3 linked regions of the Drosophila melanogaster genome follow. The protein of the gene in region 1 interacts with the protein of each later gene in a pairwise test. Each region holds a gene or a part of one and is shown in the gene's direction. Other genes may lie near its edges.

Evidence for each region. The genes of interacting proteins can lie anywhere in the genome.
Region 2: the proteins of INPP5E (region 1) and CG3309 interact in a two-hybrid assay, tested with the Drosophila melanogaster proteins (one large-scale study listed by BioGRID).
Region 3: the proteins of INPP5E (region 1) and smal interact in a two-hybrid assay, tested with the Drosophila melanogaster proteins (one large-scale study listed by BioGRID).

The regions. Positions count from the first base shown.
Region 1 is NT_037436.4:12,275,864-12,282,009, forward strand, and holds INPP5E (inositol polyphosphate 5-phosphatase E), read left to right. Parts: upstream 1-1,791; 5' UTR 1,792-1,873; intron 1,874-2,362; 5' UTR 2,363-2,420; intron 2,421-2,490; 5' UTR 2,491-2,796; coding exon 2,797-4,016; intron 4,017-4,085; coding exon 4,086-5,000; intron 5,001-5,061; coding exon 5,062-5,170; 3' UTR 5,171-5,613; downstream 5,614-6,146. Other genes in the region: Sms (spermine synthase), read right to left, coding at 1,027-1,311.
Region 2 is NC_004354.4:5,326,145-5,331,043, reverse strand, and holds CG3309 (uncharacterized protein), read left to right. Parts: upstream 1-1,696; 5' UTR 1,697-1,774; coding exon 1,775-2,875; intron 2,876-2,934; coding exon 2,935-3,738; 3' UTR 3,739-4,369; downstream 4,370-4,899. Other genes in the region: XRCC1, read right to left, coding at 1-830, 892-942; Mcm3 (minichromosome maintenance 3), read right to left, coding at 4,451-4,899.
Region 3 is NT_033779.5:6,177,356-6,182,162, forward strand, and holds the start of smal (smoke alarm), read left to right. Parts: upstream 1-1,777; 5' UTR 1,778-2,344; intron 2,345-4,807.

The DNA.
Region 1 (6,146 bases):
AACTAACTCCATCATTGTATAAAAATATAATTTTATAAAAATTTTACTTGGGATTTTGTTAAAGCTATAGTTATAGAACAAAACAATTTTAGACTTTTTGACATAATTTAATTTTTTTGATGCTATTTAGCTTACCGTAGCTGTAGGCATATGTACATGGGACATTTTCTCTAGCATTTTAGATGTACTTAAACAAATGATGGAAGAAATTGAAATATTCTATCAAATTTTATATTCTTTGTTGTTTTACAAACAAATACTGGTTGTCATTTTGAAAACCCTCAGATTTGTGGTATCAACAGTCATTTTGTTGACTTAGGTTTGTTTATATGTGCATGCGTAAGTAGAGTAAACTGGTATAAGAAAGTTTAAGTATCAAATGAAATAATGCGTGCCTAAGGGTGTAACCTGAAATCTGGTTTCTGTAATAAGGGCCGCATATTCCGGGTGTTTTTCTTCTTATTAGTATGGGTACCATGCCCCAAAGGGGCGCCAATCAATAGATCGCGAGTCGAACCCAACCCACGTGCTCCGGCCAAATGTGAAAAGCATAGAAACGGGACCGGAACGACAAGTTAACCTAGCAAAGCCCAGCTGAAATCGCTATGTATGTGATGTGTGCTTCAGAGGTGTTAGATAATAGAAACTGGTGAAAGTGCTGGGATGGGGGCAGCCATCACTTGAGGCCAAGGACGGACGAACTGACCCTGACCAAGTGCCGGCCATTTGAGCTCGCCGAGTGGTCAGGAACACACTCACACACACAACCAATCAACCCACCCACATGGTTGCCCACTTGCCATGCACACACCCCCACATGTATGTATGATGAAGCAACAACACTCGGGTACAAGTGCGCGGAAAATCAATTTTACCCGGTGGGTGGAAAACCCTTTCCCCAACTAATCAGCCGAGACACGGAAACTGGGAGGGTAAGAAAGATGTGGGTGGTGGTGCTGCTGTCGGGTGTTTGCTTGCTTGTTTTTTGAGTTTTTTAAAGGAATCTAAATTGCACTGAATACGTACGTCGAAGGATATGCTCGGCTCCTTGCCATCGGGCAGGAAGTACTCCACGTTGAGCGTCAGCAGGCCGTGCTGGAAGATGCGGCAGGTAATCACCGTGTCCTTGTTCTCGTGCAGCACCGCAAAGTAGCCGTTTTCCGGCGACTCCATCGAGTAGGCCAGCTCCAGCTGGGGGAACAGCTGCTCCAGCTCGTTACGCAGGATTTTGGCCACCTGGAGGCGCGCCTCCTCATCCGCCGTCTTGTCCTTGTCCAGCGTGAAATCAAACAGTATCGTCTGGGCCGCCATCGTGCTTAACTTGCGCTAATCCGTTGAACAAAAACGCTGAACCGCGTACCGACCGAAACGAAATACTAGTGATGCGCCTTACGAGCACCGATAGCAAGTCGATTTCGATTGCACTTCTAGTGTGGCTGTATAATACAGTTAATTAAACCTTATTATTTTTTTTAATATAAGAAACGGTTTATTAAATAATTGTAAAAAATAATAAAGTACATTTAATAATAATGTTATAAATTCCTCTTAATAAATTTTTGAAGGGTACTTGGCCCACAATTTTGTATTGAATATATAGCGCTTTGTTATGTATGTTTACCTAATAAATATTACATTGGTACGTTTTGCTGGAAACACAATTAAATACAAATCTTAATTAATATTTAAGAAATATTTCTTTAAATCTATCGTGTCACAACCCAGCCACTGAAACACCCCCGCCCGCACCTATCGATACGTGCTCCCACTTATCGGCAGTTGGCTGCCCACTTTTGCCACCCCTAAATCGCAGTTCCCACGACAAGTTCCGCACTTGCTCGGAGTTTTTGGGTGTAAACAACATTGGAACGCGGTAAATCATACAAAAATTACATAAATCGCATAGGTGACAGCAGCGTGGAAGGGTAGTGCGTACCAGTGCGGAACATGAAAAGCACACCAAGAGCGAAATCAATGCGCACCTGAACCTGAACTTGAATATCGCATGTGTGCTATGTGCTATTGTTGCTGCTTTTATGCTAGACGTAGGCCAACAACACAAGAACAACAAGGCTGCGCTGACGGGAACAATGGTCTGCTAATTATAAATCTCTCGATCCCAGAGAATCGAATCAGCCAGCAGACGACGGATATTGTGCTTGTGTTCAGACGTTCAGATGCTGAGTGCTCAGTGCTTGGATGCGTGGGCGCCGCAGCATGCCAATGTTGTTACGTCGTCGCCAAAGACCACCCTTCCGCGACCAACCACCCCCCAAATCGCCCACAATCCTCCCCATTTTATATATCGCGACGGTGTCGCCACAGTTATTACCCAGCATATTGATTTTCTGAATCCTTTCAGCTCTCTCGCCCCAAAGGATCTGCCCACATATGTGTTTTTTTTATTTAGTTGCTTGCAGGTTAGTAAGTGTATTATACCCTTGGTATTACCAACCCGCCTAAATGTTTACCTTCATTAAAATCTTACAGAACAGCACACGCAATCGCCGCCAGTCAGCCCAATTAGCCTGATTTCGTGTACGTCATCGCCGAGCCCAAAATAATTTGCATTGCGACCAGCCAGAACGCCGGACCAAAGTCGCATTTGCATTGTGCTCGCTCGATGACGTCTGGCTTTACTATTTATATGGCCGGCAGCCAGAGGCCATCGCACAATGAGCTCGGTTCGAGAGATCCGGCAGATAGAGCGAATTAACTTGACAAAAGGGGGGCATGATAACCACTTAGCACCTTCACCTTAGATGATAGAATCATTTCGTTCGGACTAAAGCCAACATGCAGCACAGCAGCGCGGGAAGTGAGGAACGGATAACCAGTTCCACCAGCAGTCCCAGATCCGGTCACAAGACCGCGAGCTCCCTGTTCGGTTTGCTGAGCAAGCGACCTAGTAAGGTGGAGCCACATCCCGTGACACCCGAATCGCCAAGATTACAACAGAGACCCGTGTCCGCCTGTGGCCAATACGATGTCAGTTTCGCCAAGTGCAATGCAGATACGTCTGCAAACCATGTCAATAACAATGGGAGCACCCTCAAAAGCCAAACGCTGCCGCTGGAGAAGTCGCACAGCGGGCTGATCAGCTTCCACAGGCGTGCAAAGCCAAGTTCCTCGAAAGGAAAGAATCACTCGCACCGGCACAGTACGGATGCTGGTTCCCAAAGCGATGGAGGAGCCGACGTGGTGATGCGGCGCAAGTCGCCCAAGCATCGCTCACCCAATCACAATAGATTTAGTCACCAGTTCAGTCTGTGCTGCAAGGCGGAAAAGAAACCGATGACACCGCCGGTGACCGTGCGTTATAACTCCATACCGGATAGCAACAGTGTTCTGCGGCGCGATAACCTCTCGCTAAGTTGGAGCATGGTGGACAACAACTCGGGCTCGCTGCACTCCAGCGAAGGATCCTCACACCGACCGCGTCCGTCCAGTGAGTGTGCCAGTGCGCCAGAATCACCGGTGGCCAGCAAAACCTTCTTTGCCCACTGCAGCCCTGCTGCGGCCAGCGCTTCGGTGGCACGGAGCGAAAGCCTTCAAAATCGCTCGCCCATTCGACCCATGGCAGTATCAGCCTGCCGATCCCGACTGCGTTTAAAGCTCTATCCACCTGGACAAGAGTTACCCCCTCTTCAGGCAGCCACAGAACCTGGTGACATTAAAAGAGCCACCACACCACAGCACATGTCCTCGCCGAATATAGCCACTCAGCCAGATGGAATAGAACACATAGAGGAGCAGCCAGGCGTGAGGTTTATGTCGCACGAGAACATGACACTCCAAAGACAGGGTTCGGGATCTAATCTGGCTCGCCAGACTTTAATGGCGGCACATGCATTGAATCTGATCCCGGCGGATAACGCCAGGGAGCGAAGTTACCTGGATGGCAGGCTGGGATCAACTTCCCTTTTGGGTCCCAGTGAGCTAAGCCGCGTGCTGCCGCAAAAGGAGATTACCGTCTTTGTGGGAACTTGGAATATGAATGGCCACAGTCCACCCAAGTATGTAAATTTAATAAATTAAGTCTAAAAGCTTATGAGTTCATATCTCAATTATTCTTTTTATTGCAGACAACTTAATGATTTTGTGCTGCCAGCCAATGTGGAGCACGTGCCCGACATTGTGGTAATGGGCACACAGGAGTCCACCCCAGACCGCTTCGAGTGGGAGGTCACCATTCAGGAGACCCTAGGTCCCTCTCACGTGCTCTTCCATGCCACAACTCTGGGTACCCTCCACCTGGCTGTGTATATGCGACGGGACTTGATCTGGTACTGCTCCGTTCCCGAGGACGCATCTATGTCGGTGCGCACGGGCTCCGCCTTTCGGACAAAGGGTGCCGTGGCCATATCCTTTTGCCTGTTTGGCACTTCCATGCTGTTTGTGACCTCGCATTTAACGGCGCACCAGCAGAAGGTTAAAGAGCGTGTGTCGGACGTTAAGCGGATAATCAATGCTCTGGACTTGCCTCGCAATTTGCCCAATCAGCGGCATAAGAACAAAGATGTCACGCAGAACTTTGACAATGTCTTCTGGTGCGGCGATCTTAACTTTCGACTGGGTGAGCCGCGTGAAAAGCTGCTGGAATGGATTCAGAACACCAAGTTCCCGCTGCCGTCGCATTTACCGCACGGTTACATGCACACGGATCAGTTGACTTCCGTTCTGGCTGATGGCGCCGCCTTCCGAGGATTTATGGAGGCGAACATCACATTTCCACCCACGTACAAGTACGATCCGGGCAGCCAGAACTTTGATACCTCGTCGAAGCAGCGAGCTCCCGCCTACACGGATCGCATTCTCTACAAGTACCGCCAAATGCAGGGACTAGTCATCCGTCGGCAGACCCTAGTGCCTGGTGTATCCACACCCACGCAGCCGCATGTCCAATGTCTGCTCTATGACTCGGTGCCATCGATAACCACCTCGGACCACAAGCCAGTTTGGGCGCTTTTTCGAACACTCATACGTGCAGGAACCGATGCGTGAGTAATTGGAATTATTACAAAGAAAATAGGATTCTAATGAACTTTCCTTTTTCTTCAGAATTCCCTTGGCTGCTGGGCTCTTCAGTCGCGACATTTATCTGGAGGGAATGCGTCGACGCTTGAATAACCAATATAGCGGCGCCTCCGCCGTTTGTGTGTTGCAGTAAACTACTGAGATGCTAACCAAAGCTAGGCTTCCTAATGGCCGCCTACCCACGTTGAAATCTATTTAGTCATTTACTCGAATCTCAAAGTGCTAGTCAAAGCTTTCCTACGGTTGTGCGACGCCTTTGTATTAACCCGATTAGATTGTTATCCAGTGCGCTGTCGGATATCGAAGTAACGATATAACCATTACTTACCCTGCAATGCTGCGGTAGATCTTAGGCGCTGCCTTTCGCCTCGAGGCCTTAGTCGTAATACGTTCCTTATGAGATTATCTAATACATACTCGTGCAACAATTCTGTACCTCTACTCTGAAGCACAAGCTTAGTTCGTAGATAAACTAAATCTGATAGTTAAAGTTTAGTCAAATATTGAAATGAAATCGAAATATGAATTACTTTGAATGTGTAATGTTAACTAGCAGTAAATATATTTTATGCATCTAAAGGAAGAGCTTTATTAATTGTTGAAATACTCATTATTATTTATTGTTAGTCTTATTGTTTATTATTATTATTATTATTATTATTATTTATTATTACTATTATTATTTAGTTTTTATAAGAGTTATTGTTGAATTATGTATAGTGAAGTTGATTACTTTTATAATTTGAAACCCAAATGAAGTTTTTAACTTTATTCAAGTAAGCGCCAATTTTTTGTTTACTTTTATTAAACGATTAAACGCTTGAGCTGCCCGTTTGCGTACTTAAATTCCAAAATTCCAAAATTGCTGGGAGCAGGCCACTCGACAAAAACAAAAGCGTATATGCTGCGGGGTCGTTTATTCCCCGAAAATGCGCCAAAAACGACCGGAACGACCAACTGCTCTACCCCCCCATCATACCCGTGCGCCACTTGGACACACACACGCAAATATGTTAAACTTTTGACCAATTTCAACTTGAGTTGGTTGCCATCGGACACACTCCGGGGGCAGCAATTTATTGGATGGCCATGGCGATTGGATGGCGCTC
Region 2 (4,899 bases), on another chromosome or scaffold:
TCCAGATGCTTGCTCAGCCGTTGTTTCTTTGCATTGACCTCAGCGTCCTTCACGTCCTCATCATCGTCGCCGAACAAGAGTGAAGCTCGATTGCGATCCAGGGGCTTGGCATCCAATGGCGTCGGAGAAACCGATCGCAGAGCATTGAGAACTGGTGATGGCGACGTCGAGGTTTTGGGCGATGCAGCCAGGCTAGAAACCTTGCCAGCGCTCAGCCTTCGCAGGGCCGTGGAGCCGGCGTCCCGAATGGCCGCTGCTGTGGAGGTCGCACTGATCGCGGGCGACTTGTGCTGCGTCTGCTTCTTCCAGCTGTGAAATCTGTTCACTTGATTGTCCGTTTCCGAGTCCGGCGACTCCTCGCGCAGCTTAAAGGTCCCGAATTGCATAACACCCTGCGGCACTAGGGATTTGACCTTAGGCGCCGCAGCAGCCACTACATGCACCTTGACGAATGAGAGCCCGTATGGCACATGACGATTGAAGGGCTGTGTGCAGACTATCTGAAGCAGCTTCCACTTCTCCGGCAGTGCACTCTCCGCCAGCGAAGTGCTACTGAAACAGCGAACGCGATTTGGATTGCTGGAATTCTTGCTCTCGATGGGCGTCATAAACGAACTGGATAGCAGCAGCTCGCGGAAATCGTCCGCCTGGCAGCCTGTTCGACTGACCAGCACCTCGATGAAGGCGGCATGTTCGTTGCCAATATCGATGCCCGTAATCTGTTGCGGCTCCTCGAACTCCAGCACAACGTATGCGGATTTCTCTCCCGGCGCCTTGGTTCGCCACTTCTTGCCGGCGTTTTCCTTGAGCAGATTCGCCGCTACGTGCACCTGGCCAGCGGGATTGCATAGTTATATAGATGTACATTTGTTATATAGGAGCATTACTCACCGCATCTTCGCTGCTCACTTCGCGTACGGACTTGAAAAGCGCAATTGGCATTTCGCAAGTCGCATGAATTTACACTGAGACGCCGATGATTTTGCGGCAAATTGCTTTGCCGACAGTTGCGCCTGCGATTAAACTGATTGTCGAAAGGGAATTGCGTCGGTTGCATGTGTTGCCATGTGCGCTAGAATGTTTGTTTATTTCTTTTATCTTTTGATGATGGGCGGTGAATTATGCTGATTTTGCTTAACCAACTATTTCAAAAATAAAACCTGTATTGTGTGCACTAATTGCCCATCACTAGCTGTGCTGACAGCCTAGCTGGATATCGCTAAATATGGTCTCTTCGTCACCATATCAAAATACTAGCTAGTTAATTGGTTAACCAACACTGGTCACTTCAATTCAACTTTATTTCATTACGTTTATTAAGAAAATGCTAAAGATCTGTTTTGTTTGCAAAGGTTATTATAATTATATTATATTATATTATTCATTATATTCATTATATTATATTATATTATTCAAGAGATTAAATCGCCAAAGTGGCAGCGCTGGTGAAAAGCAAAAAAAAGGTGAAAGTTTTGAAATGATAAATTTGCACATAGAGATGAGCAGTGATTGCAAACGGTGACAAGAAACAAGATAAATATTTAGTAATATATAAAAATAATAACAAACCGTTAAGAAAAGCTAACGAACAGTATGACTGCGCTAATTTATTATATTTAAAAACAAATGATTGTTTATTAGCAAATACTATCGCATTAAATGGTGACTGGCGATAATAACGGTAACTGCAAGCAGTGAACAACTATCGCCCTTCCCTGATTCCCCTTGTCAATGTCGCTGGCAAATAAATAAATAAATATCAACAAAATACAGAATGAGCGCGGATGCGAGAATCAAGCAGATGGCGCCATCGCTGGACACCACCGAACGGGAGAGGGAGCACCAGAACGTGGATGCCACCAACTCGAACTCGGAGCCCAGTGCCAGCGATTGGGTGAACTTCTCGCAATGGATGCACTGCTTCTGCGTGGTCACCTTCGATCTAAATCTTGGGCAGGCGCTGGAGCACGTCTATCCGCCGGCTTTCATGCCCAGCGACCAGGAGGTTAGCAACATTTGCTACATGGCCTTCCCGGACTCAAATTCCGGCTGCATGGGCGACACCAAGTTCCACATGCGATTGCGCTGCACAACGCGTCGGGATTCCTTGCCGGGCTACAATGCGGAATGCTCGCCGGCGCTGCGACAGGATGGCTCCCACTACTGGGGCTTCGTCTACTTTCGCCAGAAGCGGGACGCGAATCTGCCGCGTGGTTACTTCCAGAAGAGCTTTATAATCATTACACGACTGCCGTTCTTCAATCTGTACTACGACATACTCTCCCAGCTGGCGCCGCGCTACTTTGAGGAGGGCACCGACGTCCTGCGTCTGGCCAGCGAGCAAATTAATCGCCAGTGGCCCGGCCTGCGAGTGGGTAAGCCGCTCCAGCTGCCTCTGCTGGATTGCAGCTATCAGATCTGCATACCGCGGACCAGCAGCAGTCGAAAGTCGACGGCCGATGGAGGCATCGCAGGTGGTGCGGTGGAATCGCCACCAGCCATGGCTGCTTGCCCGGCAGCCAAAGTGCTGGCCTCCGTTAATGAAATCGAACTCTTCCGCTCCCTGGACTTTGTCATGGAGCAACTGTACACGCTGTGGGAGCTGGTCATCACCGCCGAGCCCATTGTTGTCGTTGGCACCTCACCCGCCGACTGCTCCCACATGGTGCAGACCCTTCTGGCCATGATTGCTCCGCTGGAGTATTGCGCCGAGGCGCGTCCCTACTTCACCATTCACGACAGCGAATTTCGCGAATTCACACAAGAGTGCAGCAGCAAGACCACACTGCCCGCCTGCATTTTGGGCGTCACGAATCCGTTCTTTGTGAAGCTCCTGAAGGATTGGCCGCACATGCTGCGACTGGTGGACAACCAGGTGAGTGTCCCAATCCCAGTTAACGCAATACAAAATATATCCGTCTTGCTCGTTTTCAGAAGAACATGCAGCAGCAACAGCATCTGCTGCTGGGCCAAAAACACGCAAGGAACATCGCATCGGCCACATCATTTTCCAGTTCAACGGAACTCGGTGGCCGTATAGCACTGAAATCGAACACCAATCTCAATGGCAGCTCCAGTTCCAGCAATGGCTCGGGCGATGCCTCGTCCGCGGGCCTGCACAGTAAATATAGGCCGTACCTGAAAAAGGACAAGGCGCTGATCAAAAAGGTGCTGCTGGGCATGAAGACCAAGCGGCCGGAGCATGTGCAAACCGCACTGATACGACGCCATCTGCTCGAGCTGACGCAAAGCTTTATGATACCACTGGAACGGTATATGGCATCACTGATGCCGCTGCAAAAGGACATCAGTCCGTTTAAGTCGGCGCCGAATGCCAACAGCTTTAAGCTGGATGACTTTCTGGGCACGCTGGAAACCGCTGGGCCGCAGCTAACGTCGCCGCTGAAGGGCGACTGGAAGGGCCTGTACAGACGCTTCTTTCGATCGCCCAATTTTCGCGGCTGGTACGGTGCACGTCATCGGGAGCTGCAGCTAACGCTGCAGGATCTACAGCTGCAGGCGCTATCCGTGGCGAATCTCGAGCACTGGGCGCACGACAAGCAGGAGGTGGAGATCATCGATATGATACTCAAGCTCAAGCAAAAACTGAATCTCTATGGCGACAAAGCCACGCAGCTGGAGGGCAACAATGGCTCAACTCAGCAGCAGATACGCGCCCAGATTGAGTGCATGAAGGGCTTGCTGCCGCCGGATCTCAAGAATGTGGTGAATCTTTGATGGTAGTAGCTCAATCCTCGTCCTCCTCCTTCTCTTCTGCCACTTATCACTTTGGCTGCTCCACATCTGTCTGCTAGTATCCTGTGATTGTGTGATTGTGCCTGGCGGTGCTCTTTATCAGTGTAAATAGATTTTAATCGGCGATTAGTCGCCGTATTTGTGTCTAGTTTAATTCTAAAGTGAATCCAAGCGAAGCGATGAATGTTGTTAGTTCAAACTACAAGTCAAGTATTAAATGTAATCGATGTGTCCCTTCCATATTTTCACATCCATGCGAAAACAATGCTCATGTCTCAAAATGTCGAAAACCATGCCAATAATATCTATGTGGCTGCAGCTTGAAACCACTAACCACAACATTGCAGTCCCTTCCTCTCCAGCTTTTTACTGATTGTGAATGGGAGTTGTGAAGCCAGTTGGTTATACCTTCAGTTTGTTTCTTTTAAAACCGTTGTGCAACTTTGTGTGTATATCGCTTAAATTGTTTATGTCAAATATAAGTTAACTATAATACATTAGCCAACAGCTGCAGCCTTTCCTTATGCCAACGTACATATTCCGTGGATTGCAATGGGAGTTCCAAAGTGTTTATTTTTTTTTTTATATAAATACAAAACAAAAATGACAACTTAAGCGCTAGAATGGTTGATGGATAAAGGATGGATTGATGGATGCAATCGTTCGTTCGATTGTTGCTCCTTGGAATGCGCGATCAGATGAGAAAGACTATATCGTCGGCGACCATGATCTGATTGTCCTCGGTCATGCGATGCACGGCGGCCTCGATTTCGCCAGCGGTGAACGGCTCCTGGCTGCCAACGTTGATGGCCGTGGTGATCCTGGCCAGCGCCAAGCTCTGTTCGCGTGCCTCGCGAAACAGTCGCTGCAAATTGTTCTTGAACTCGCCCAGGCGGGCATCGCTAATGATGGCCGGCTCCGTGGTCGATGTGGCCACCGACTGCTCCTCACTGGAGGGGCTGGCCATCAGCATGGCGACCGAGCGAGCGGGCAGAGAACGACGCGTTTCGCGACGCGTCAAATCGCCAGCATCCGGCTGTGGTGGCTCAATATCCTCCTCATCGCTATCGGCACCGACGGTCGCTGTGCGTGTGCGTTTGGAGCGTCGCGATGGTGAGCGCTGGCTAGATGCCTCACCGTTGT
Region 3 (4,807 bases), on another chromosome or scaffold:
CAACCGTCGTGTCAACAGCTATCGTTCTTGCACAATAGATAAAATACAGTAATGGGTATCTGATAGAATTTTTAATCTTCGAAAGCAGTCCATCGAGAATGTCAGTATCTATAAATACTTTATGGAGTGGGAAAGGTCTGGGACAATAAACAAATGTGGCAAAAGATACTATGCCAGTATCGCAGCATGGGGTTGATGTATTCACAGAGTCCTTGAAGGCTATGTAAATATTTACTCGTGATAACGCAACATTTGCTTGTTCTATCTATGTATGTATTTTGTATATCTATTAGCAGCGCTGAATGCATTTTTGTGTAAATTCCTGATCATAACCATTTGGCCGCCGCTCATCCGCTCGTCCGCTGATTTCTTTGACTGCCGGGCAGGCGAACAAGCCGTTTGACAGACAGCGCATGCCCAACGGCTTTGGCCGGAATGGGTATGAGTTATGGTTGGAAGTTGGCAATGCTTCTGCTGTCTGCTGTTTGTTTGTACACTCGGATGTGACAAATGGCCAATTGATAGGAACATGCAAAGAGTCTATCGAATAAAACTACGTACAAAGTTAAATTGACTACAAGACAGAATGTTTGATTTGCTGGAGTTGTCCTGTCAATAACATTTACATTAATCTTGCAGAATATTTGTATATATTTTTAAATTAATATCCAATTCATAGCTTTCTGGGTGTCTGTAATCATAAAATAGAAGACAAAAAACATGTTTTTTTTTTTTAACTAAGAAAACAGACAAAGAGACAGAAGAAGTACTGCTTTCATAAACAGTCACCATATATGATACAAATTGGTTACGGTTTCCAGATAACGCCTTTCCAAACGCTGTTCGCTTTTCGATAGGCGATCTGGCCCGGAGCGATATCAGTTGATTAGCGGCGATCCACTCGAGGAATTCGTTGTGGGCCCCTCGAAATTGTGTCACCGAGTCAAACATTCGAAAGTGGCGAAGAACAAAGGGTCGGATCAACTGGTGAGACCAATCAATCAACCCACAACCTCTGCGATACAATCTACAAGTGCGTAGCTATAAATCCCCATGCCCCACGAAAACCGTAGAGTTCGTAAATCATACATGTCCATATGATATGGTGCACCAATGTGACAAGATCGCATTTCTCTGCTGGAAATTATGACAAGTTGTATGTGCGATTTCGGCTTAATGCCGGCGTCAATCATTGGAAATTCATCAGAGGCCGCGATTGGCGGCGGTCCGCCATTTCCAATTTGGACTGCAAGGCGGATTCGCCGGAAAAAGCGAGCGAAAGGAAAAGTCGGGGAGGGTAAAAACAAATCAACAGTTCGAATTCGCTCTTGTTTTGTTCCACATTCGCCGCAGACGGAAATCTCTTATACGAGCCGGAAGAGAGCGGAAAAACTCTATCGGATTTGGAGTTTCTCGGCGATTTTCACAGAGCACAGGTGAAGTGCCTGGGCCTGGGCAGGTAAATTCAACTCCATTGTGGATAATTTTACTGAGAATTGAAAAACTTAGTTTTTAGCGCAGCATATACAATATAAACTATACTGTAGCTTAAATGATAAGTTTTAAGGAAACAAAAACATAGAAACAACTCCAAATTATGATTTAAATGTTAATTTGATAATATAAATCCTTGCAGGTCCTTTACAGCGCTCTCCACACATAAACTTTGTAAACAGTTCCACCGACGAGCGAACAGAGTCCACAAAAGAGAAGCGCTCGCTCTCTTAGCATCCACACTTACATGCAACGGAGTGGTGCGCTGCACGTTACATTCAATCGGATTCAATCGCTCGTCGACCTTCGTGCCGCGCGTTACAAGAGTCGCAGTCGCTGTCGCAGTCCGCCGTCTCAGTCTCAGTTTGTGCCCCCAGTCTCAATCCAGCTCTCGTGACAAGAAGAACAGAACGCCTTGGCCACTGGCAACGCGGTCGCGAATCAACGCAGTTACCCATCTCAGGCTTAATCGGCTGGCAGCCAATCGCCAAGAGATCCGACAGATACGGATACGCAATCCGCGCAGCGCGAGTGCAGAGATACGAATTGGTCAGGAATAAGATACGGTGCAAGTGGCACCCAAGATGCGGCAATTGTGCACCTGCGGCCGCCAGCAGCGTGCGGCAAAGTGTGTGAAATGTGCTACCTGAGAAAATGCCCACGGAGTGCTCAAACATATCGAAACAAACCAGCAGATAGAGTATCTTTTGCTGCCCCAGTGAACAACAGTGCTTGAAATTTTAGTAGAGAAATCGTTGTTTTTTGCTACAAACTAAAGTGCAAACGGAATACAATCAATATACACCTTAAGTCAACGCAAAGGCTAATTCAAAACTCTTGGAATATTTAGGTGAGTTGAGAGTGAAGAAAGGCCTAACTTGAAAACAATCAGTGCTCAATGCTCAAAGCAATCATGTCAATAAACAGGATTTCCCCATAGAGACTTTGCAATGCATAAATAAATATTGAGTTGCAAACAATCAATTAGTGCGACAAAAACAAGTTTATGTCAATTACTAACTAAATAATTCATTTATCCGAAAAGAAACCAGAAGAATATTGGCCCAATCAAATGTATCTCATCAAGGCGCATTCCAGAGATCAAAAGATATCATTTCCAACCCGTTCTCCCCATTTCTTACGGTGGCTGTCCCCTTGCCTCATTAATTAAACACAAATTAAGAAAGAGCCAAGCTGTCAACATCTGGGGCTAATCAAACTAACCTGCTGTATTTTATAAATAAGAAGCGAAGAAGAAAAGCGGCGGCAGGTCGTAAAACGCTAAGATACTGCCCTTATCTCCTAAAGAAAGATCTTTCTCCGAACACTTTGTGCCTCCGACGGCTGTTGCACACAGATTCTTATCTCGCAGATGCAGTTATGTATCTAGATATTCCGCAGTACAACCTCAACCTCGAGTCTTTGGCAACTTCACACTCCGCTAGACGCGCAACGAGGCCCCTGGATTTCATAATTTTCCCGCTGTTCTGCGGGGTAATTAAGTAGAAGTATGTTTGGCAATTAAAGTTCCAGAGACCTCGCTTTCGCTTTTTCCCCCCGCAATCATCAGCTTTTGTAAATAACTCGAGTTATTTTTCTTGCTCACTTGGGATGGTTTAGAAATTTAAGATTGAGATTGGGCATCCGATGGGTAGCGATTACCGCGAGCTGCGAAGATGCAGCCGCAATCGCGCATGCATAATTAATTTCGTGTAAAAATCATAATTACACCAATTAAAATTTGTGTAAACAAGTTGGCAGCAGGCGGGCGAGTCCCTCAATCTGCCCCAAGCGCCGTTTGGGGCGCAATCATTATGATAATACCGCTGAAAAAACTTTTCGTGGTCGATTGCGAGGGGAACTCTTTATTGCCATTGTAGAAAAAGTTGGTGGGCCCAGGCGGAATTGAGTTGGCTATATTATGGTAATGAGACGTTTGAGTATGCCTCCAATGAACAACAGATTTGCCGCAGATTTGCCCAATCTGCTTTAAACTGCGCCTAAAACCCATAATTCGATGTGCGTGAAAGAATTTAAAGCACCGAAGTTCATAGATGCATCCACATAGCTACCATTAACAGGTTGTATTCAATATTTTATTCAAATCTAACTAAAATACTAAGACAGCAAAGTGATAAAATTGATTAGCAATGAAATTATGAAATGCAATAATCGCTAGTTTTATTTCATTGCCACTGAATCCGAAAAATACGTTATTCATTCAAACGTTGCGTTGAATAAAATGTGAAATATGTTTGTGGAATTAAAAAAGGTGTATAAAACTATATTTATAAATATACAAAGTGTGCAGCTTGGAAATTCATGGGAATTATTATGAATTTATTTTGTACATAAACACACATCTCTTTCATTTACCTGCAACCATCTACCAACGAAATGAAAATGTGTATCTCAATTTTTGGGGGGAAAATATTTTCTTTTGTCAGCTGGGATTACGATGGAAATGGGGCAACAATATTTACCATGTTCTTCTGCAATTTTAATAAGGATCCATTTAAACAGCATTGATTAAACTTTGTTTTCATTAAAATCTAAACAAAGCCCATTCATGCAATGTCAAAAATAAATAATAAAATGTCTAATTAGACCATTAAATCCGATGGCAATATAACAGCCAGCTAGTCGCATTTGAACTATTTAAGTTTAATTTGAAATGCCAAGGTATATTTCTTCTTTAAATAAGTAAAATTCCACCGACGTGCGGCAATTTATATTAGTGTCTTCTTCAACGAATTCAACTTCCATTTAACCTCATTCTGTACACATCGCATCCCCCAGGTCATTTTTCAGGGGCTGGCAAACACAACAGTCAACAAAATTTATACCCAAGAAGTGTCATTCTCGTGTGCATTTCGGGCTTTTTTTTTGCCGCTGGTTCGACGAGATCGTGTCGCTGCCCACATGGCTGCCACCGAATTGCTGGCGGAGACTCCAACTCCTCCGCGTCCCCTAATTAATTAGCATCTAACTAAGAATAATGTTTCCTGCGGCCCTCGACTGTCATAACTTGGCCGCAAGTTTATTTGTTTGGCTCGCCAACCGAAGGCGGCGCACAAAAGACATAGCCACCATTCCGTGAGATACAGATACAAGTACACAGATACAGATACAGATACGGGGGAAAACTGGAGGCACAGATGCCAAGACGGCGCACAGGTGCCACATTTTCTTCGATTGCAGGGGTATAAATGCCGCCAGGAGCACTAATTCGTGGCTGCCACTCCGCATTTTTGTTTGTTAGTTTCGTTTGGCTGGGTTTTTATGGCCAGTGTTGGTTTTTTTTTTTAGTTTT